Linked DNA regions of Canis lupus familiaris. The protein of the gene in region 1 interacts with the protein of each later gene in a biochemical or structural test. Links are inferred from orthologs where the notes say so. Each region holds a gene or a part of one and is shown on either strand. Other genes may lie near its edges. The genes, in order: MYOG, SRF and CSRP3.

Evidence for each region.
Region 2: the proteins of MYOG (region 1) and SRF form a complex in vitro, tested with the Homo sapiens proteins (2 studies listed by BioGRID and IntAct). The link is inferred for Canis lupus familiaris from reciprocal best matches to the Homo sapiens genes MYOG and SRF.
Region 3: the proteins of MYOG (region 1) and CSRP3 form a complex in vitro, tested with the Homo sapiens proteins (2 studies listed by BioGRID and IntAct, with this or other methods). The link is inferred for Canis lupus familiaris from reciprocal best matches to the Homo sapiens genes MYOG and CSRP3.

The regions. Positions count from the first base shown.
Region 1 is NC_049228.1:240,499-247,861, forward strand, and holds MYOG (myogenin), read left to right. Parts: upstream 1-2,551; 5' UTR 2,552-2,614; coding exon 2,615-3,085; intron 3,086-3,636; coding exon 3,637-3,718; intron 3,719-4,102; coding exon 4,103-4,224; 3' UTR 4,225-4,923; downstream 4,924-7,363. UniProt on the Homo sapiens protein: Acts as a transcriptional activator that promotes transcription of muscle-specific target genes and plays a role in muscle differentiation, cell cycle exit and muscle atrophy.
Region 2 is NC_049233.1:11,854,497-11,861,072, forward strand, and holds part of SRF (serum response factor), read left to right. Parts: intron 1-409; exon of another isoform or gene 410-502; intron 503-1,445; coding exon 1,446-1,712; intron 1,713-2,176; exon of another isoform or gene 2,177-2,328; intron 2,329-3,280; coding exon 3,281-3,542; intron 3,543-4,088; coding exon 4,089-4,208; intron 4,209-5,278; coding exon 5,279-5,470; intron 5,471-5,758; coding exon 5,759-5,835; intron 5,836-6,062; coding exon 6,063-6,158; 3' UTR 6,159-6,576. UniProt on the Homo sapiens protein: SRF is a transcription factor that binds to the serum response element (SRE), a short sequence of dyad symmetry located 300 bp to the 5' of the site of transcription initiation of some genes (such as FOS).
Region 3 is NC_049242.1:41,994,748-42,001,917, reverse strand, and holds the start of CSRP3 (cysteine and glycine-rich protein 3), read left to right. Parts: upstream 1-2,898; 5' UTR 2,899-3,057; intron 3,058-7,170. UniProt on the Homo sapiens protein: Positive regulator of myogenesis. Acts as a cofactor for myogenic bHLH transcription factors such as MYOD1, and probably MYOG and MYF6.

The DNA.
Region 1 (7,363 bases):
CCCAAGCCGGCAGGGGTGGGGATTAGGGCCCGACGCCCCGCTGTCAGGTTAGAGCTGATGGATCACGGCTGGTGGCGGAGCACAAAGGCTGTTCTGTGCTTGGCACCAATGTGTTCCCATCCATCAGAGGGCAGCCTGCGTGGGGCGGACGACTGTGCAGGGGAGGGAGGCCAAAGCCCTAGGCGCCCTGCGCTGCGCTGCGCTTCAGCCAGGAAAGAGGAACACGGCCGGTGGAGGAGCAAGCCCCCCACGAGGGCTTCGAGGTCAGGGATGCCCTCCCTCCTGGGAGGCTCCATGCCCCACAGCTGCGCCCGGATGCAGGCCTCGGGCCACTCACTCGGACAGAGATACACAAACACATGGACGGACGGGGATTTCATGAAACCCAGACACGTGAGATGGCCCCAGCCTCCCAGCCCTGCCCTCAGCTTTCTTTCGAAGCGAACATTACACACGCACGAGGCCACACTCACAGCCCGGCCTGATGGCAGGAGGACTGGACCCAACCCCAGGGACTGGCAGGGAGGGGCTCCTGGGAAACTGGGTCTACCCGGGAAGGAGGAGGCCGACAAATGCTTTCTCAGGGTTACGTCTGGGTTACGGTAGGGTGCCCTCGCATTACCGCGATGACAGTGAGTGTCTTCCCATCACGCTCCGCCGCTCGCCGCGCCACACCCCTGCCAGCTGACGTGCACCCTCCTGGCGGCGCCCAGCCTCCCGCTGACCGGGCTGCTCCGACCCTCGCCCCGGGATGAGGGCAGCGAGCTCTCTGTGCAGCGTCAAGCCCCGCCGAGCCCGGTGGGCCCCCTCCCACCTTCACAGACCCGTCGGGACCCCGGGCCGTCCAAACCCTCTCCCTGAGCCCCCGCCCCTCCGCTCCCTCCCCCGAAATCCCACCTGCTGTCCAGCCCGGCTGCCCGCTCCCCTGCAAGCCTCCGCCTTCCACAGAGACCCCGACTTCGGCAGTTATGACTTTCTCGACTGAAGCGCCCGGTTGGCGAGCCCACTCGTTTGTCATCGATCCCGGCCCCCATGCTTCCTGCTGCGTTAAAACAGCTCCCTCTTACACTGCGATTCACCATCCGCGTGTCGGAGTCCACGCTCGCCAACTAGAGAGTAAAGATCCTAGAAATCACAAGCCCAGCTTCCCTGCTTCCTTTTTTAGAGGGTGCGAACGCACCGCCGAGGGGCAAGGCAGATTGTATCCCAGAAGCACGAAACGATGCAATGTGTCCGTTTCCATAGTAACTTCAACATCCCTTCTTCTCTCGGGGCTCATAGGGATGGAGTGTAAACTGAGGCAAGGTTTTTCTTTTTCCCTTGCTTGGCGGGATGCGTGTTAGAAACAGCAATCCTCCTTCAGCCTAGCTGGCCAAAGTGTGGTTGGAACCCAGAGCCCCCGAGCGGCCGCCCTGGGAAGGCCAAGAACCCAGTGAAGACCTCCCCGATCCCCCTTCAACATGCATGGGGGTTTGCAGTGCCCAGTGGCAGCCCCGCCTCATCTCTGTTCCCTGCCCCAGACAGACGCCAGCCTTTTCCTGGCTCCTCACCATGGACCGTGAGCGGCAGGGAAGCCGGGTCCCTCGGGCTCCACTGGGTCCCACCTCCCCCGGGGGGTCGTCTCTGAGTCCCCAGCGCCATTCCTCCTCCCCGTACTGTCCTTACCCTGGTTGGAACTTCTAGCCTCAATCTCAGATGTCAAGTGGAGGGGGGATCAGACTTAGTTCAAGAGTTTCTAGGGAAAAGAGTGGGACCAAAGAATGAAGAAGGGGGCACATTGCCGCCCAAAACCCAAAAGGCCGCCCTGTGCCAGAGGGACAGACGGGGAAGACAAGGTTCACTCGGTGGGGAGGGGGCGGGGTAGCCTGTAAGTCCTGATGTTGCTTTGCCCCCCACCAGCCGCGTGGAAGGGAAGCCCCTAAGGTCCCCGCCCAAACACCGGGGAGTCCTTCCTGCCTCCACTTCCGCCCTCGCCGGAGACCTGAGGTTGTTAGATGTCCAGGCCGCTTTGGAAACCCACTTGCGTCTGCGGGTTCCCTCTAATCCCTGGACACCGAGCCCCCCGAGCCCCAAATCTGAAGCCCTCTCCTGCTGCTGACTGCTGGGGCCTGGGCCAGGGCTGTGCCCGCTGACTCCTCAGGCCCCCTCCAGCCGACCCCGTGCCCCTTGTGCCCTCCCCTTGCCCCCACCCCACTTCTCTGGGGCTGGCAGGGACGGGGCAGGCGGGCCGCCCAGCCCCGAGTAATTGAAAGGAGCAGATGAGAGGGGAGCGTGTGTCCTCCCCCACCTCCCCTGCCTCCTGGGGGCCGCAGAGAAATGAAAACTAATCGAATTACAGCAACGGCCTCCCTCCCGGTGCACAGGAGCCGCCCGGGCCGGGGCAGGCGGGCTGGCCGGGCGGGGGCTGGGGAGAGGGCAGGGGAATCACATCTAATCCACTGTAAACGTCTTGATGTGCAGCAACAGCTTAGGGGGGGCTCAGGTTTCTGCGGCATCGGCTATATTTATCTCTGGTTCCATGCCAGCGGGGAGGGTTTAAATGGCACCCAGCAGTTGGCGTGAGGGGCTGTAGGAGCTTGGGGGCCGGTGGCAGGAGCAGGTCCTTTCCGACCCCATGGAGCTCTATGAGACGTCCCCCTACTTCTACCAGGAGCCCCACTTCTATGACGGGGAGAGCTACCTGCCAGTCCACCTGCAGGCCTTCGAGCCGCCGGGCTACGAGCGGACTGAGCTCAGCCTGAGCCCCGAGGCCCGGGGGCCCCTCGAAGACAAGGGGTTGGGGACCCCCGAGCACTGCCTGGGCCAGTGCCTGCCGTGGGCGTGCAAGGTGTGTAAGAGGAAGTCGGTGTCGGTGGACCGGCGGCGCGCGGCCACGCTGAGGGAAAAGCGCAGGCTCAAGAAAGTGAACGAGGCCTTCGAGGCCCTGAAGAGGAGCACCCTGCTCAACCCCAACCAGCGGCTGCCCAAGGTGGAGATCCTGCGCAGCGCCATCCAGTACATCGAGCGCCTGCAGGCCCTGCTCAGCTCCCTCAACCAGGAGGAGCGGGACCTCCGCTACCGGGGCGGGGGCGGGCCCCAGCCGGGGGTGAGTGGCTGCTGGTCCCTCGCAGCTGCCCCGGGGGGGTGGGAGGCCGGTGCCCGCGCGGGGCCGGGGGGGGGGCGATGCTGCAGCAGGCGCCGGGGGGGCCTAGACACGGCGGGGGCCCCTCGGCAGAGCCGGGCTGCCCAGCTAACCCGTGTCCCTTTGTCCTTCAGGCCAAGCTGGGGGCGGCGGGGGGACCTGGAGGCGGGGGGGGGGGCGGGCGTCAGGAGGGAGGCGAGGGTGAGTCCGGAGCCGGCCTGGGTGGGGGCGAGGGTGAAGGGGGCGTGTGGCCCAGCGCCCCGCTTGCTGCAGCCGCGTCCCTCACCTCTGAGGCTCCGGAAAACCAGGGACCCCTTCGGCTGGGTGGCCTGGGAGGACAGGGCCACGGCCAGAGACGGGGGGCAGGAAAGGCCCGGAGGCAGGGGGCGTGTGGCCAGCGGGGGCACAGTCTCCGACGAGGCCCTGGGGCCCACCCCCCACCCCGCGGCGGCGACAGAGGGACGGAGGGACGCCAGCAGTGGCCGCGCTCTGACCTCGGGCTTCGCGTCCTGCAGGTGCCCAGTGACTGCAGCTCCCACAGTGCCTCCTGCAGCCCCGAGTGGGGCAGCACCCTGGAGTTCGGCCCCAGCCCCGGGGGTGAGTGAGCCCCGCACCCCTCAGCCCAGGCCTCTGCCTCACTTCCCGCCCCAGGCCTCTCCCTGCCGAGGCTGCCTCCCGAGGCCCAGGAGCCGGGGAGCCGGGGAGCAGGCCAGGCCTCCTGCCCCTCCGCGCCCGGCGGTCCCCAGGGTGCACAGGCGGCTCCACTCACACCAGCGGGGAGGTCACGGGCGGGGGAGGGGGGTTGGGTGCTCAGCAGGCACACGGACGTACACGCACACCCGCACCCCCTCCCTGCAGGCCCGGGAAAGGCAGGGCCTGGGGAGCAGGAGCCCCGGCTCCCACCCAGCCACCATCCTGGAGCACCCATGCCACTCCGAGGGCCCCGTCACCCCCGGGTAACACCCTCCCGTCTCCCCGCAGACCACTTGCTCGCCACCGACCCCTCGGACGCCCACAACCTGCACTCTCTCACGTCCATCGTGGACAGCATCACGGTGGAAGACGTCTCTGCGGCCTTTCCGGATGAAGCCATGCCCAACTGAGGGCGCCCGTGAGCGTCCCCCCCTACCCCCCGCTGGCCGCAGACGCCTTCCTAAGCCGGGCTGTCCTGATGCCAGAGAGCCAGCCCGGGGCTGCCAAGCGCCAGTCTCCCCCCCCCATCCATATAAGGCCAAGTCACCGTCCCCCCAGAGGGGTGGCCGCTCTCCCAGCTGACTCCTGAGGGCAAGGAGCAGCCTGTCTCCAGGGAGATAAGCAGGGACCAGAGGGCCCCTCGTGTGCCCCGTGTGTGCCCCAGGTCAGGGGCCAGACTCAGGAGCTCCCCTTTGTTCCTGATGCTCCACCTCCTCCCTCGATAGAGACTGCGAGAGGCGAGCTGGTCCTGACCAGGACGAGCTGTGCGCCTCCCGCGCTTGTCCCTCCCGATGCCAGCGGCTGGGCTGGGCCTGCCCTGCACTGGGAGACAAGGGAGGGGGACGATCCTGCTCCTGGGTCCCGGGGGGGTGGGGTGGGGCAAGCTTTGCAGTGAATCCTGGGAAACTTCCAGTGGTTTCATGTCTTGTGTTTGCGATGCTGCCATCTGACCAAGGTCTCCTGCGTACGAGTTGCCAGGGACAGGCAGGGAGGGGGGCAGGGGTCTTGGGTGATTTCCTTTCTTAACTAAGCATCGTGTGGTTTTGACATTGTTTTGTAATTTTTTTTGCTAACTTATTTGGATTTCTTTTTTAAAAAATGAATAAAGACTGGGTGCTAGGAGAGCGTCCTGTGTTGATGTCGGGGGGTGGTGCCCGCCAGCCCGGCCGTTCCCCTCGATGGTGTAGACACAGCCCCAGGGTGGGGAACTCCCAGGGCCTGCACCTGGTGGGGCTCTGAGAGCAGCTGAGGCAGCACTTTGCTGGTCCCACCAGCTGCTGGGAGCCCGGCTCCTTACAAAGGCCACTGGGTGTGGCCCACGGGGTGGGTGAAGGCCAGACCCATGGACGCCTCGAGACCTGGAGAAGGGCCCGGCCGGCACTGGGGGCCCCCCTGGTTCGTGGACACTAGACCGTAGACCGTGCACCGGGTATATGAGCTCCACCTTAAACCCCAGGACCCGTTCCCTTCCACCCATGGGCATGCCCTGTGCCCAGCTCTCATCCCACAGCCAGCTTGCAGAGTGATGGATGGGAATTTGTGGGTCTCCCGTCCCTCACCCCTGCCTCTCCTCTGGCCTGAGGGTCCAGGAGCCCTGCAGGGGGGAGGTGAATAGGTCGGTGTGATTGATTGGGGTCAGACGCCGTCACGTCCGTGCAGGCCACCCAGTCTTTCCTCTCTGCATCCTGCCAGGCCCCTGCCCACGGCTGGAGGATGGACGCGGTCATGGGTGCAGGGGCAGGGCCCCAAAGGACAGTCAAAGGGAGGGAGGCTGGGCTTGTGTTCATGCGCCGCTTCCTTCCAATGACTGGCCGAAGGGAGGAGGTGGGGGAGGGCGGGGAGTGAGAATACAAGCTGAGGCTGAATGGACTGCGCACGTCTATGAAAGTCTTACTAACTCCAACTGCTTTAGGCTGAATTTGTCTGATTTATTGCAAATTATAAGTTTGAGAATCATTAAGGAGTCTGGGGATCCAGAGCGTGACACGGTCCGGCCCCCACTCAATTCTTCGGGGCCCCCGATGGTGGACGGGAGCCAGTTTTACCTCCCGCCGGGCCCCCGAACCCGGGCCTCTGTGCGTCCATCAACCAGCCGGGCCCTGTGCGTCCATCTGCCCCATGGTGGGAGCTTCTCCTTGAGCTTGTGTCATTGGGTTTACAGTCCCCCGTCTTCTTGGAAGGACAGGAGGACACCCGCGTCCTGTGCACGATGGAGCACCCTGGCTCGCTGCCCTCGGAGCCGAGCAGAGCCGCGAGCTGGTGCAGATCACATTCACCCCCCAATGGCTGCTGCCAACACTGCATGTGCCACGGGCCCGGCTCCCCTCAAGCTCCCCTCCGCTGCCCTGGCATCTGCCCAGCTCCTGGGGGGATACGATCCCTCCACCTGCCGTGCCCTGGTTCTCACCGGAGGGCTCGGGGGAGCCCAGGACCCGCGTGTCCTCTCCACCACGCAGCTGATAGGCTCGGGAGCCTGGGCCTGCTTCTCCCGTTGATGGTTCTTGTTGCGTCAAGTGGAAACGAGGGCTCATACTCCTCCTCGGTAAGCGCGGGCCGTCCTCAGCGTGGCCCTCAGGTCCACGGTCCCCGACCATTGGCGGGGGAGGGAGGCGACTGTCTACCCATTTCTTCTTATTTCTCCTTTGGCCTTTAAGTCTGTAAGCGGCAAAATAAATAGATAAATAAATAAATAAATAAATAAATAAATTAATTAATTAATTAATTTTTTAAAAAGTCTGTAAGCCGCCCACCAGAGCGACAAGTTGCTGGCACCTCACAGGTGTGACCGGCAAATTGGCCACACGGAAGCCTACCCTCATTCATTGTTTGCACAGAATAAATTGTCACCAACGCCCTGGGCCTTTCCTAAAATGAACGCTTTAGGCTTCACAATTAAATTACAGGTACTAAGACTCCAATTAATGAATAATGAGCAGTTGTTCTTCAGGGAAATTAGCTTCAATCCGGTCTCCAAGGGAAGCGCCGGCGATTAAATCGAGCCAGGTTAACCCGGTGTTACCTGGTGCGGGACTTCAGGGAATCCGCTAGAACGAAAAGCGAGGAAGTCCAGTGTCGCGCGTGAACAGGACGCTCGTCCCGAGTGACGGCAGCGCACCTCCCAGGCCATTTTTTTCTTCGGCTTCTATTCGTTGCTTGTTTTTTTTTTTTTTTTATAAATTATTTTTTATCGGTGTTCAATTTGCCAACATATCGCATAACACCCAGTGCTCATCCCATCAAGTGCCTCCCGTCAGTGCCCGTCACCCAGTCACCTCCACCCCACCCCCGCCCACCTCCCCTTCCACCCCCCGCCCACCTCCCCTTCCACCCCCCCTAGTTCGATTCCCAGAGTTAGGGGTCTCTCATGTCCTGTCTCCTGACTTCTAAGCTCATCTATTGGACAAACGGGAAAATCTTTTCAGTGCGGCTAGTGCAGCGGTAGCTGGACCACCGATGGGGCGGTGAGGGGACAATGGAGGGCGAGGAGAGGCCCCCCCTCAAATCGGGTATCTGTGCAGGGATGAGACCCCATCACCAACGTCCCATCCC
Region 2 (6,576 bases), on another chromosome or scaffold:
AGGGGAGGGGCCGCCGGGGAAATGTGGGGAGAGGGGAGATGTCCGGAACGTCCAGAGAAGAGGGAAAGGCGCCGAGGTGGGAGTGACGGGCGCTAGAGAGGAAGAGGGCCCTTGCGGAGTGAAGGGGTGGAGAGTGGTGATGGGTGGTGGGTGGTGATGAGACGCGGGGGTCCCTAGACCCAGTGCTTTCTGGTGTTCGGGGGTGGGTGCCGGAAAAGCAGGGAGCCTACGGGAAGGTATGGAGGTGAAGAGGCTGGAGCTCTATAACAACAATGAGCCAGCTTGTGTAGGAGGAAGGTGGGCACCACAAGTATTGCTGGCTGGAAGGAGAGGCAGGGCTGATGACCAAATGGGGCTCAGGAGCCCCAGGTAAGGGAGCAGGGTGCAGGAGAACTGATGCTGCTCTGACCAGCAGGCACTGAGTCCCACGATGGCCATGTGTCTTCCTTCACATCCACTGGAAACCGGTGCACTCTGCAGGACAGCCTTCAGGACCATCTGCCTTTGGGACAAGTGGGATTTCCAGCCTTAGGGAGTGTCTGTGCATGGAGTTTTGGGGAAGGCAGGGAGGTTTGCAGAGGTACCTGGGAATTCTTCCTCTTCTAGCCAGCTATCTAGTGAAAAGGGGAGAGAGGAAAGGGAGGGGGAGGGATGGAAGCAGATGAACTGGGAAACAAGAAGCTAGAACCCTGGGGACATTGGCTGGTGTTTATTTTTGTCCCATATAGAAACCAGAGCTGCTTCCAAGGTGGGTTGTGGAACTTTTCTGGGAGTAAGGATGCCATCTGTGGGGCCACCTTTGTAGGTCCCTTCCCTGGGTTCATGGCAGGGTAGTAGCTGCTAACCTAGCTCCCATCTCCCATCACTCCAGACACTGTTGCATCAGGACAAGGAAAGAAAAAAGCTGGTAGCACAGTATGATAGGGCATGAGGACAAAATGGCAACAGGTTAGGACCTGTGCAGTTTCTGGGAAGAAACATGAGGACAGTTTAGCACTAATGTGACCCCTTATCCCTAATGTCTTACGGGACTTCCAGTGATATAGCAACTTCATTCTGTCTGGTTCCTATGACAGTGAAGAGTGGGTGGGTGGGAGCCCTCTCTGTGAGACTCCTGGCACCAAGCTGTATTCAGGAGCAGCTACCTGGGCCCTTCCGTTTCCTCTGAGATTATACATTCTGTCACTAGGGGTCTGTGTTTGCTTGGGGTATCTGCAGGTCAGTGGCTGCTTCTCAAAGGAGTAGCATGGGGTAGTTTCTCTGCTCTCCAACTCTCTTTCAGATATCTTGATAGATACCTCCCCCTGCCCCAGTCACTGGAGAGGAAGGTCTCTGGGTGGGGAGCAGAGGCTTGAGATCACTATGTATTTCCTCTCTTCCCTACTTCCCAAGGAAGGTAGAAAAAGTTTGGCTGATCTACCCATCTCCTTCCCCCTACTCCCCAGGCCTATGAGCTGTCCACGCTGACAGGGACACAGGTGCTGTTGCTGGTGGCCAGTGAAACAGGCCATGTGTATACCTTTGCCACCCGCAAACTGCAGCCCATGATCACCAGTGAGACTGGCAAGGCACTGATTCAGACCTGCCTCAACTCGCCAGACTCTCCACCCCGCTCAGACCCCACCACAGACCAGAGAATGAGTGCCACGGGCTTTGAAGAGACAGACCTCACCTACCAGGTGTCGGAGTCCGACAGCAGTGGGGAGACCAAGGTGTGTTTGGGTCGCCTATCTGAGGGGAAGGAAGGGGAGGGGCTTCACCGGCAGAGAGGGGAGGGGGTACCTCTCTCCCTCACTCAGGTTAGGTGCCCACTAATGTGGAACGGAGCCGGGTTAGTGCCCCTCATCCTAGGGGACAGGTGTCCATCCTCGCCATCCTGACAGGAGGCCGGCCCCCTAGATAAGCGGGCGGCCTCCGTGCCCTTATAAGGCCGGCTCCGGCTCCAGGCCGGCCTCCCGCCTGCAGCCCGCCCGCCTGGCAGGGCCCTTGCATTCCTCCCGCCAGCTGTCTCCCTGCTGGGGGCGGGGGCGTAGCTTAGCCCTGCCCTCGCAGCAGGCTGGGTTGCCAGGGAGTAGGAAGGAAGCACTCGTGGGCCCCAGGGTCCTGGGAACCCAGCACTGTCGGGAGGCGGGCTGGTTGACTGGGCTGGAGACTACCTAACTAGCCAGCCGCCTACCTCTTCAGGATGTCCGGGCCTGGGCACGTTTAGGGAGTGTATTCGCGGCTGCTAGGGATGCCGGCCCTAGTTACGCCTTCCCCTTCCTTTTCCCGGTAAGGAGAGGGGGCGGGGCTTCCTCCGTTGCTTCTCTAGGGAGCTCCACCTTCCGGGTGCCCCTTCACTAACTGGCCAATCGGAAGAAGCGGCACTGTTTGCCTTAGCAACGCCTTCACCAATCAGGGCCTTCGAACTCGGCTGCCTAGCAAACATCCCGCGCTGACCCACCCCCAGGATTTGAACCCCCTCAGTTCTCTGGGCTTGGTTCTCAGCTCGTGGCTTCCTCCTTCCCCTTCTAAGAACAAAGGCTCACCGAGGGAAGAGTCAGTGCTCCAGGTTTTCCCCCTCTTTCCGGCATATCATCTGTAGTTGCAAACTCTTTAAGCAGTAGGGCTCGTTTATTCTCAGGGAATTTTGCTGGAGGAATTAATTCCTTTGGTAGTTTAAATCTTAAGAATTTGACATGAGTGCTTAATTGCCAAACACCCAAGATCTCTCTGAAACCCTAAGTTCCCTGAAAAACTCTCGTCCGTCCGTATCTCAGAAACCTAGCAAGTCAGAGCTAGAAGGATGTTTTTAAAGAGGACATAGTAGCCTAGTCCCCTTCATTTCCCCCCCAGGAAAACTGAGGCTCAGAAAGAGGAAGTGATTTCCCCAGGATCACATAGATGGTCAGTACCAGAGCTGGGAATAGACCCCTGTGTCCTGATTCCGCAGCCAATGTGATTTTCATAGTCCATTGGGACACAGAATTCAGGAAATTATGATGATGACATCATCATCATCATAAGAGCAGCAAATACATATTACTTTTTTTTAGGTGTCAGGCACTTTATTTATATTCACCTATTTATCTTAAAAACACCTATGCGGTAAGTCTTCTTTTATGGACAGAAAATTGAAGCTCTGCAGCTCAGTAACTTGCCCGGGGTCAGACAGCAGGTAAATGGCAGAGCTGGGGTTTGAACCCAAGCACACTGGTTCCAGTCTGGGCTGTCAGTCACACAAAGCTGCAGGGGCAGAGTCTGGTAGAGGCTCACTGCTGTGTCTTTACTCTGGGTGTAGGACACACTGAAACAGGCGTTCACGGTCACCAACCTGCCGGGTACCACCTCCACCATCCAAACAGCACCCAGCACCTCTACCACCATGCAAGTCAGCAGCGGCCCCTCCTTCCCCATCACGAACTACCTGGCACCAGTGTCTGCTAGCGTCAGCCCCAGCGCTGTCAGCAGTGCCAACGGGACTGTGCTGAAGAGTACAGGCAGTGGCCCTGTCTCCTCTGGGGGCCTCATGCAGCTGCCTACCAGCTTTACCCTCATGCCTGGTGAGTCACAAGGGGCAGAATGAGCATGCCAAGAGTGGGTTTAGGGCTGGCACAAGGGGAACCTCTTTCCTTGCTCAGAAGGAGGGTGGACAGGGGCCAGCCAGAACCTGAGAGAAGCCACTTGGGTCCCACTGGGAGGCATGCCCTTCCCCACTGGGACCCCTACTGTCCTTGTCAATAAGTTTCAACCATACCCTCTGGCCTTGTCTAGCCAGCCTAGCCCTGTGTCCCCCTGCCACAGGGACAGTAGACATTCTACCACTTCCCTACCTTGATTGGAGGACAGGTCATGTTCTTGATGGTTCGGTGCCGGCTCCTATATCAACCAAGGAGGCAGAGGCAAGGCCTAGGGGTGGAAGGAGGTGGGAGGGGCCAGTGCAGAGTGCAGAAACCCAAGAAGACAAGATTCAGGACATGAAAAGCCTCTTTAGCCCCCAGGAAACTATGGGAGTTAGGGAGCAGCATGCCAGACCTTGGGCCTGGGGTGTTTGTGGGTGCCAATGGTGGCCGGGTGGGACAGCATGAGTAAGTCTCTGTGTCTTATAGGAGGGGCAGTGGCCCAGCAGGTCCCAGTGCAGGCCATTCAGGTGCACCAGGCCCCACAGCAAGCGTCTCCCTCTCGCGACAGCAGCACAGACCTCACGCAGACCTCCTCCAGCGGGACAGGTATAGCTTGAAGCTCTCTTCTCCCTGCCCTTCGTCCTTCATGAGGCCTAGGAGCAGGTGCCCAGCAATACCCCTCCCATAACTAAGGTCAGAGAATTTCTTAATGTGGAGATGGAGGCTTTTGGCTTAACCTTTATCTTAATCCTTATGGGAAAGTCAAGTGAGGATGGCTGGGTTTGGGATCCTGCCCTGCAGTAGGGCTTTGGATTTCAGGAAGAAATTAGGGACCATCGGAGCCACCCTTCTTCTCATTCAGATAAAAAGCTGGAGGCCCAGAAAGGAGAAGTTACTTCCCAAGGACACATGTTTGCTTAATTATCAGGAAAGATTTATAGAGCATTTGTCTCCTTGTGGGAGGGTATTCTAGGTTTTGAGTAGCTATAATTCTGCTCAGTGTCTCTAGTCATTTCAGAAATGATGAAACACTTTCAAAATTAAATTATTTTTAAGTTCTTGTTATTGACAACCTTGTTACACAAGATATGGTCTATGGACAGAGAAGTAGCATCACCTGGGAGCTTGATAGAAACGTAGACTCATAAGCTTTATCCCCAAACCTACTGAATCAGAATCTGCATTTTAATAAGATCCCAGGTGATCTTATGCATATTAACCTTTGATGTTGAAAAGATGAATTTGTTAGCCACACGTTTAGGAAGAGGGAGAAAAAAGAAAAAAGGAAGAGAGAGGAGCGGTGAGAAATAAAAAATGGGATAATGGAACCTCCTCAAAGGGGAGTATCTGAGTTTCCTTGGAGTGGGTCAGTCATTGCAATTCTTGTTTCTCCCAGGACCTTATGGTCTTGGAACGAAGAATTGGAGAGATAGACAGTTGAATAGTACAGTGTGATAGGATACAATTAAAGGTTGGTGCTCAAACAGAAGGTTGGTATTTAAACAAAAATAAGGCTTTTCTTAGCCGATGACAGGGATCAGAGGAACAAGTCTTATCAAGCTTCTGACCTGGGCAATGGCAGGAGGACTCCGGAGCCCTGGAGCTCCTGGAGGTGGGATGGGGGAGATCAGTAGGGACCGGTGTCAACCTCCCTAATGTGTGTCTGTGTTTGCCAGTGACATTGCCTGCCACCATCATGACGTCATCTGTGCCCACAACTGTGGGTGGCCACATGATGTACCCTAGTCCCCATGCGGTGATGTATGCACCCACCTCGGGCTTGGCTGACGGCAGCCTCACCGTGCTCAATGCCTTCCCCCAGGCGCCGTCCACCATGCAGGTGTCCCACAGCCAGGTCCAGGAGCAAGGTGAGTGGTGGGCTGGGGCTAAGGGGGACCATGTCCTCCTCCCTCACATACCCACATATCCAAATGGCCCCCCACATACACACATAGATATATACACTCATATACCCATACCCAAACAAGGATGCCCACACATAAAACTACACACACACACACACACACGGATGCTTGCACACACATTCCCACACCCATTGCTGTCCACTAGGATACTCATGCATTCCATTCCAACTAGTATCTGGAAGTTTCTCTTGAGCAAGCAGTTTGAGTATCTCCTGTGGTTTCCCAATGCAGGTGGTGTTCCCCAGGTGTTCCTGACAGCACCATCTGGGACAGTGCAGATCCCTGTTTCTGCAGTTCAGCTTCACCAGGTAGGTGTGGGGGCACCCTTCACCTCACCTCAGCCAACCCAGCCATTTCCTTCTCTTGACTTTGGGGATTTCATTTACCCATTGGTCTAAGCCAAGATTCCCTAAGCCAGGAGGCCCATCTGTTTTCCCAGTCAGGCTCGTGGTGGACAGGCAGGCCAGCAGGGGGAAGCTTGAGCTGGCTGGTCAGTTCCTGCCCTCCTTTTCCTTACACACCCCCTTCCCTCCAGATGGCTGTGATAGGGCAGCAGGCTGGGAGCAGCAGCAACCTCACCGAGTTACAGGTGGTGAACCTGGACGCCGCCCACAGCACCAAGAGTGACTGATCCGCCCTGCCACCCTGGACAGATGGCCCAAGGGATGGCACCACTTATTTATTGTTGCCTTTTCACGTTTTCTTTACACACACGTTGACGGGCCGCAGGAGGGAGGCAGGGAGGAGGAGTGGGCAGCCACAGGACTGAGCCCTCTCACTCCAGCCAAAGAAATGGGCCAGCCTGCCCTCCACCCCATCCTCCCTCCCCCTCCCCTCCTTCTGGCTCCACCTCCCATTTTCTGTTGATGGTGGGGCTGTCCTCCCTCCTCAGACTCCCCTAGCCAGCTTGGCTCCATGTTTGCCATGAGTATTAGCTTATCCAATGGGACCGTGCCCCACCTTCCCACACACAGGCCTCTGTGGGACTAGGCACCGTGTTCCCCCGAGGAAGCAGTGGGGGTCCTCTCCCAGCCTCCTTGCTGACCTGC
Region 3 (7,170 bases), on another chromosome or scaffold:
AGGCACTAAACCACTGAGCCACCCAGGGATCCCCGAAGGTAGAGTCTTTAAAAGTAGAAAGAGATTATATGAGTGGGCCCTAGTCGAATATGACTGGTGTCCTTACAAGAAGATGAGATTAGGACACAGACACACACAGGGGGACTATGGGTACATGTGGAGAAGATGACTATCTACAACCCAAAGAGAGACTTCAGAAGAAAGAAACCCTGCTGACACCTTAATCTTGGACTTCAAGCCTCCGGAACTATGAAAAAATAAATTTCTATTGTATAAGCCATCCAGTGTAGGGTACTTGTTAAAGCAGTCTATCAAGTCTACTAGAAAGGGCTTTTCAATTATGTGAGAATTCACTTCATTTACAATAGATTTCCTCAATGAATTCGTCAAGAACACATTCTATCCCACATACACTCACAGAATTAAAAATGGAAGATATAAAAATATACAAGAAACAGTATTGAATGAAAAAAGCAGTCATATTTATAATTAGGCTTAAACAACTAGTGATACATAATGAACAAAGCTGATCACAACCTGGAAGCAAAATCCCAAATGATTTACAAGCGGGATGTGGTGGGCAGGTGTCTAAGTACAAGGCCAATGTGAAGGGAGAGGGTGAGGTGGTGATAATGAGAGTGTGCTGAGGTTCTTATAAGTTTCCCATCTCATGGAAAAAACAGAATAGAGATACCAAATAAATCTAGATGTCAATAAAATATATATATTTATCGTGGCATTAGTTTTTTAAATTAGAGGGAGACTATCATTTCTAAATTATAAGAGAAAAACATGGCACAAAGAAAACTATTAAATTCAATAAAAGGCCAGAAGAAAGAAATATTATAAAAATAAAACATAAAATATGGGGCACCTGGGTGGCTCAGTCAGTTAAGCATCTGCCTTCGGCTAAGGTCATGATCCTAGGGTCCTGGGATTGAGTTCTGTGAACAGGCAGCCTGCTTCTCCCTCTCCTTCCCACCCATGCTCTCTCTTGCTATCTCTGTCTCTCTCAAATAAATAAATAAAATCTGAAAATAAAATAAAACATAAAATAAGATGAAGGGGATAAGTCTATATATATCCACAGTCACAATAAATGTGAATGGGCTAAAATCTCCTTTTAAAAGATGACTCAAATTAGGTAAAACTCAAAATACTGTCAGTTATTAACTCTAGGAAAAAGAGTGGGATTATTGGAAGGCACTTTTACATTTTACCCTAAATACATCCTTCTTGTTTAGTCTTTCACAGTAAAAATGCATTCCAGTGTTATTTATCTAATTAAAAAATATTTTATTTAAGGTCAGAAGTATTAGACTCAACCCCAGATTTTCTGGCTCTGTAAATAATTTGCAATATCCCTTTGAACAAGTGATATCCCTTCTTTGGACCTTAATATCTATATTTATAAAATGAAAGTGGTGGGCTACACCTGTGACTTTTAAACCTTGCCCAAAGAAGTATTTTATTTGTATTTGTTTATTTACTTATCTTATTTTTAAGTAATCTCTACACCCAATGTAGGTCTCAAACTCACAACTCCAAGATCAAGAATCTCATGCTCTACAGACTAAGCCAGCCAGGCATCCCACAAAGAAGTAGTTGAGAAGCCACTTTAGGGGATTCAGGAAAAGGCTAGGTGAATGTGACCCTGAGACCACCTACTTAATTCAAGCAGTGAAGTTTCTCTTTTATCTGCTTTATTATTGATGCTCCATTTAAGATTATCTATAGAAAAAAGGTATTATTCTTCTAAAAAAAAACCCAACCCACAAATGTTTGCAAGCTCCTCTCTTAGAAAACTTCTAAAGTCCCCTCTAACTTTAACATTCTAGAGCACTTGCCCTTTACCCATTTCTATGACAAATACTTTTGCAGGTAAATGTAGATCAAGGACATCCTATATGAGGTTGTGCTGTGTCCATATTTACGAAATTACCCCAACCTTCTTTACAGTGAAATATTCAATTACTCAACCAATTGCTTTTGTGGGCATGTAATGAAAGGCTAATATGGCTGCATTTCATAGACCTCTTGGTTGGGTACTACTTACACTTAACCTCAACATTCAGGTCAACGCGGGTGGTTAAGTGTCTTTGCTGGAGAGATGGATGACCTGAATTTCGATCCAGAACCTGCCAATCTGCCTGGAACCTGGCCCGAGCAAGGTAGGTGCCTCAGTTTCCTCGGTGGCAATATGAAAAATTGGTCTATGAAATCCCGAACTTCTTGTCACCTATCACATTCTATAATTCACATGTGTCCTTGATGTTTGATCAAAGCCAAAAATATGTACATATCAGGCAAAGGGAAATTAGGCCTCCAAAGAAAACATGGTTTCAGAGAGACTTATCAAGATTTGTCATAAATATGACATGCTGCCATGTTAAATTCTTAAGTAGAAAAAGAGGATGAACATAGTAATTCAAGACTTTTCTTCATAGGATGGCGGGCCATGAAGTGCCAGGACCCTGATGATTAGCTGACCTTTCTTTCCCCAAGTTTCTTTGAAGAGATTATCTAAGTATCATTTCAGACACCCATCACTCTTATTTTTAGCTCTGAGTTCTCTTCACGGGTGTTGTGACCTGTGTCTCAGAGTTCCAGAGGGCTCCCAGATATGGCTCATGATTCATTTGCAGGTAACTTGCATTGATTTCCAGGAAGGTCAGGGGAGTAGGAGCCTGGAAAAATGATTTTAGATGTAAAAATCCCTCTTCACTCTTGTTGGTGTTTCAACCACTTGATCAGAAGTTCATGCTCCACCAATCGATCCCCAAGGCCATGGGCAATTGGCAATTAAAACAGAACCCAAGCAATATCGTTCTCTCAGGGCCTCACAGCTGGCGTAGGGGGGAACAAAACTCAGGGCTTTGGTCACAGGCTATTTTCAGCCTCTGATAGCAGTTGTGTTACTCATGTCTCATTCACCCTCTCCCCTCGGCCTCCCTCCCGCCCTGCCCTCCACAGGCCAGTGCTGGGGACGGCCTCCATGTATTTAAAGAGGATGAGAGCCCCCGTACTCAGTTGAGCCGACAGAGACCACACAGGCAGGTACGTGGAGCGAAGCAGACATTGGGGTGGGGGGGCCGGGGTAGGCGTGGGAGGTGGGCTGGCTCGGTGGCCAGTTGGGACTCTGAAGGGTCCCATTGAGGAAGGGTGTGCGTCATGTCCCAGGTGCCAGTGGCCACTCTGGTTCTGTGTGAAGAGGCTCCAGTTGTGTGCGATTCTGGTGTGGACCTAGTTGCTTAAAAAACTCTTAAGGGTGGGATTCGCATTTGTGGGTTTGAGGGAACCTCACAGAGAAACGACTAAGGGATTATGTTGGACCTAAGACTATTCCCATGTTGGAGTGTTTCCCAAAGACGTGACACCAGTCCTAGAGCCACCACATAATGACTGGATGTGTGACTTCGGCAAACTTCCTGCCCTCGGGTCTCCTCTGGGAGGCTCAGGATGGAAGCCGGGATATATATTTTTTTCCAAACTATAAAGTACGGCACAGTTACAAAGAGGTTGTTAGAGATACGCTACAGCTGAAGCCAGCTTTCCCATGCTCAAAGCACAAGGAACTGTGCTCTCCAAAAGGTGTGGGTGAAGGACGGAGATTTCTGTAGTTCGCCACACGGTCTCGCACGTGGGAAATGCTCAGTGCAATTTGCTGGTTTAAAATAGATTTCAAAAAAAATAAATAAATAAAAATAAAATAAAATAGATTTCATATCCCAAGAATGTTCAGCAACAGGCTTGCTTCTAATAATTTAAAATTGATCAAAACCCTCAAAAAGGGACCCAAAAAAGACACAGTGACACTGAAAAATCCATTAAAAGCTCTCCTCAAGGGGAGGAAAATTCTCCGCGGAGGGTGAGGGGTGATTTCCAGAGTTTCCTCTGAGTTTTAGCCCAGCATTTGAATGACAGGCATGAGTGTGATGGAGAATGAGAAGTGGTTTTAAGCACTGGTCTGAGTGGAGATGCCGCCCCAAGATCAGAGCCGCCACCTCTAATTTCTGTTGCCGTCCCTGGGCCGGTGACATCCCCGAGGAGGAGCAGCTGGGTGACAGGCCTGAGGAACTCTGCCTCTCTGCAGCACAATTCAGCGCAACTGAGTGAGCGTGTGTTGACCATCGTCTGTGCTGGGGCTGCGGTGGGATGGGGGGCGAGGCAGCACTAATGCAGGGAAGGGGGAAACAGGGAGATCCCGTGTCCTCAGTTACTTTTGGGACCTAAATCTCAATGCTGCTTACATCCAACTCATTACAAAGTACATAAAATTGCTTTACTACCCAGAGAATGTAAAGGATTCCTTCTACCAGCTTTGGTTCCAGCTTCCGTTCCTTTCTGAACAAGTCAATCATTAGAATGAGCCCAAGTATTGGCAGGGAGTGGGGGGCCGGGGGTGCAGGGGAAGGGGAGACAGACAAGGAGGCAGAGATAGGGAGCAAGAGAAGGCAAGAGCGAGCAGGATCACTCAGCCAGCAAATAGCCAAAATCCTCTTGAAAGAGGTGGAGACAGAATCTTGAAAGAACACACACTCAGAAATCCTGGGGATCTGAAGAAGGAAATACAAGGAAAGGCATCTGTCATTGAGAAGGTTCAAAACCCCACTCTGGACGTCGCTGAACTTCTCTGAGCTTCCATTCTCTGAACAATGAAATGAGGCTAAGGCCCCCGTCCCAAAGGGATCTGTTAGCATCAGATGAGATAAAATATAGGAAGTACTCTGTGAAGCCACCTAAAAGTGTACCAGTGTGGGGGGCCTTCCAGAAAAGACCCCCGGGGCCCGGCCCTGCGGCCGGCGGGAGGGTTTCCTGCTAAGTACCAGTGTGATGAAGGAAGCCCAGAGGTCAGAGTGGATAACAAGGTGCCCAGGAGTTAGAAGGTGATTAAGTTGCTTCACAGGAGGAAAGACCGAGACAGGGAATCCAACACCGAGGAAACACAACTCCCGCGGCTGGCCGACTTCCAGTGATAGGCCTGCTGCTCAGACGTCTGGGAACACGGGAGCCAGGGTTGGGCCTCAGGCCTGAAGAGAAATGTGATGGCTTCAGGGGTGAAAAGCTGTAGTTATTCGTCACAGCGAAGGCAAAGCAGGAGGGGAGCAGGGACGGTCACGAGGGCCACCGGCTGTGAAGCCTTTTCTGAGCCTCAGCGTGCACCTCGTCGTGGGAAAGGATTGAGCGTGGTTTGTGGGTTGTTTACTGCCCTTGCAGGCGCGGAGCAGTAGTCACTTATTTGACTGCCACAAAAAGTCCTGTGAGGTCACTCTTCAGAGGAAGAAGCAAAAGTCCAAGGAAGCAAAGGAATTACCCAGGGTCACATGGTAGAGCCAGGTGATAAATCGGGGTGCAACATGGTCTTCAGAAACACGTTGCAAGGGCCAAAAGAGAACCAAGTAAAACTCGGCCACACTGTAGAGATAATTTCAGAAATGGTGTGATTTAATCCGTGTATCACAGCTATAGTGCAATGGGCAGGTGTCTCTACCCTGAGTCTTAAAGGGGGATGGGGTCAATACTCGGGCTTAGTACTGTGCTGGGAATAAGCAGCCTAGGCTTCCCGGACTTTGGGAAAGGGCCTCCAGATAGATAGGGGACTTCACACATCTGTTCAGAAGTTTAGGGCAAAGCCACTGACTGACCTTGAGTATCCTACATGGAGGAGCTGAAGGACATGGTCCCCCTGGGCCATGAGGACTCTGCTCAGGTTTGCTGCTTCCCTCCTCCGTCCCCATCGCCAGCGAGGTCAGCGGGTGTTAGGCACCAGGGCTGCCAAAGCGAGGAAGCAGCTGTCCTGGGGCACAGGCTTAGGACTTTGCCTGACATGTCACCTCTGGCCCCCACCCCCGGGGGAGCTCTCTCCCTGGCCTGGCTCCCTGCTGCCTCTGCTCCTCCGTGCAGCACACGCCAAAGACTGAGAAACAGAGTTGGTTCACCGTCTGAGCCAGGAGGGCCACAGAGAAGAAGCAAGGAAAGCTTTGCTTGTTTTAAGAAAATGGATTTAAAAGCTGAAGGTAAAATAATAATAGTAATAAGGAAAGCAACAAGATTATTAGACACCCTGCCATGTATTATGCATTTGTGTATACAGTGCCTTAGCTATTATGATTATCTTATCTAACCTGGAAACAACCTTTGAAGGCAGGCCTTCTCATCTGTCCTCCTGTGCATGAGGACAGGACGCGGGGCTCAGACATTTTGAGCATTTTGCCCAAGGTCCAAAAGAGCCTGGCCTGGTTCTTTCCATAGCCCGCACTGTTCCAGGATCCCACACTATCTCTTCTACCTGGATTAAGAGAGTAGAGAAAAGGCAGTGCTTGAGAGGGGATTGCCCCCGGAAAGCATTTCTGCAAGGTGAGGCTCCAGTCACTGTTCAGACACCGACATCTGTCTCCGGGCTCAAAGGATCCTTGAAGGGCCTTCACAACGTTGCAGTCACATGGACAACCATCCCCAGCTGAGCTCAAGTCAAGAGTGAAAGGGAACTCTCCAGCCTCAAAGGAGCTCTTTGCGTGTCTAAATGGCAATGATTCTTACAGAGGCTCTTATTTTACTGAATTAAATTCAGGCTCCCTGATACTCCCGCCCATGAGTACTCTCTGTCCCATGGAGAGACAACGGGGTCAGTCAGATCCCAGTTCTCATCAACTAGGAAGTTTGGCTAATGGAGGTGCTGACTCTCCTCCCCTCCCTGGCATGTTATAAATGGGGACGTGGAATACAGACCCAGCTTCACTTGGGTCTGAATTGCGGCTCTGCCACTTACTAGCTGTGTGATCTCAGGCAAGTCGCTCAAGTCCTCTGAGTCTCAGTTTTCTCATCTGCAAAATGGAGATGACAAGCTTTGCTCTGTGGGGCTGTTGTATTACAGATGGTACGTACAAAGCAACTAACACATAGTAAACCATAAATAGATAAATAGTACCTAATCTTAATATAAGAACACAGCTTTGGAGTCAAAGACCTAAAATCCAATCTAGCCACGTGAGCGTGGGCAACATAATTTCCCCAAGACTCCATTTCCCCAAAAGTTAACAAAAGGCAATGTTTGTGATAGTGCCTACCCTCAAGGTCTGTGAAGATGGAATGAGATAAAGCTCAGTGCCTGGCCCGAGGGACTCCACATGCTTCAGCTCCGATAATAACATTATTAGATTGGTAATGACT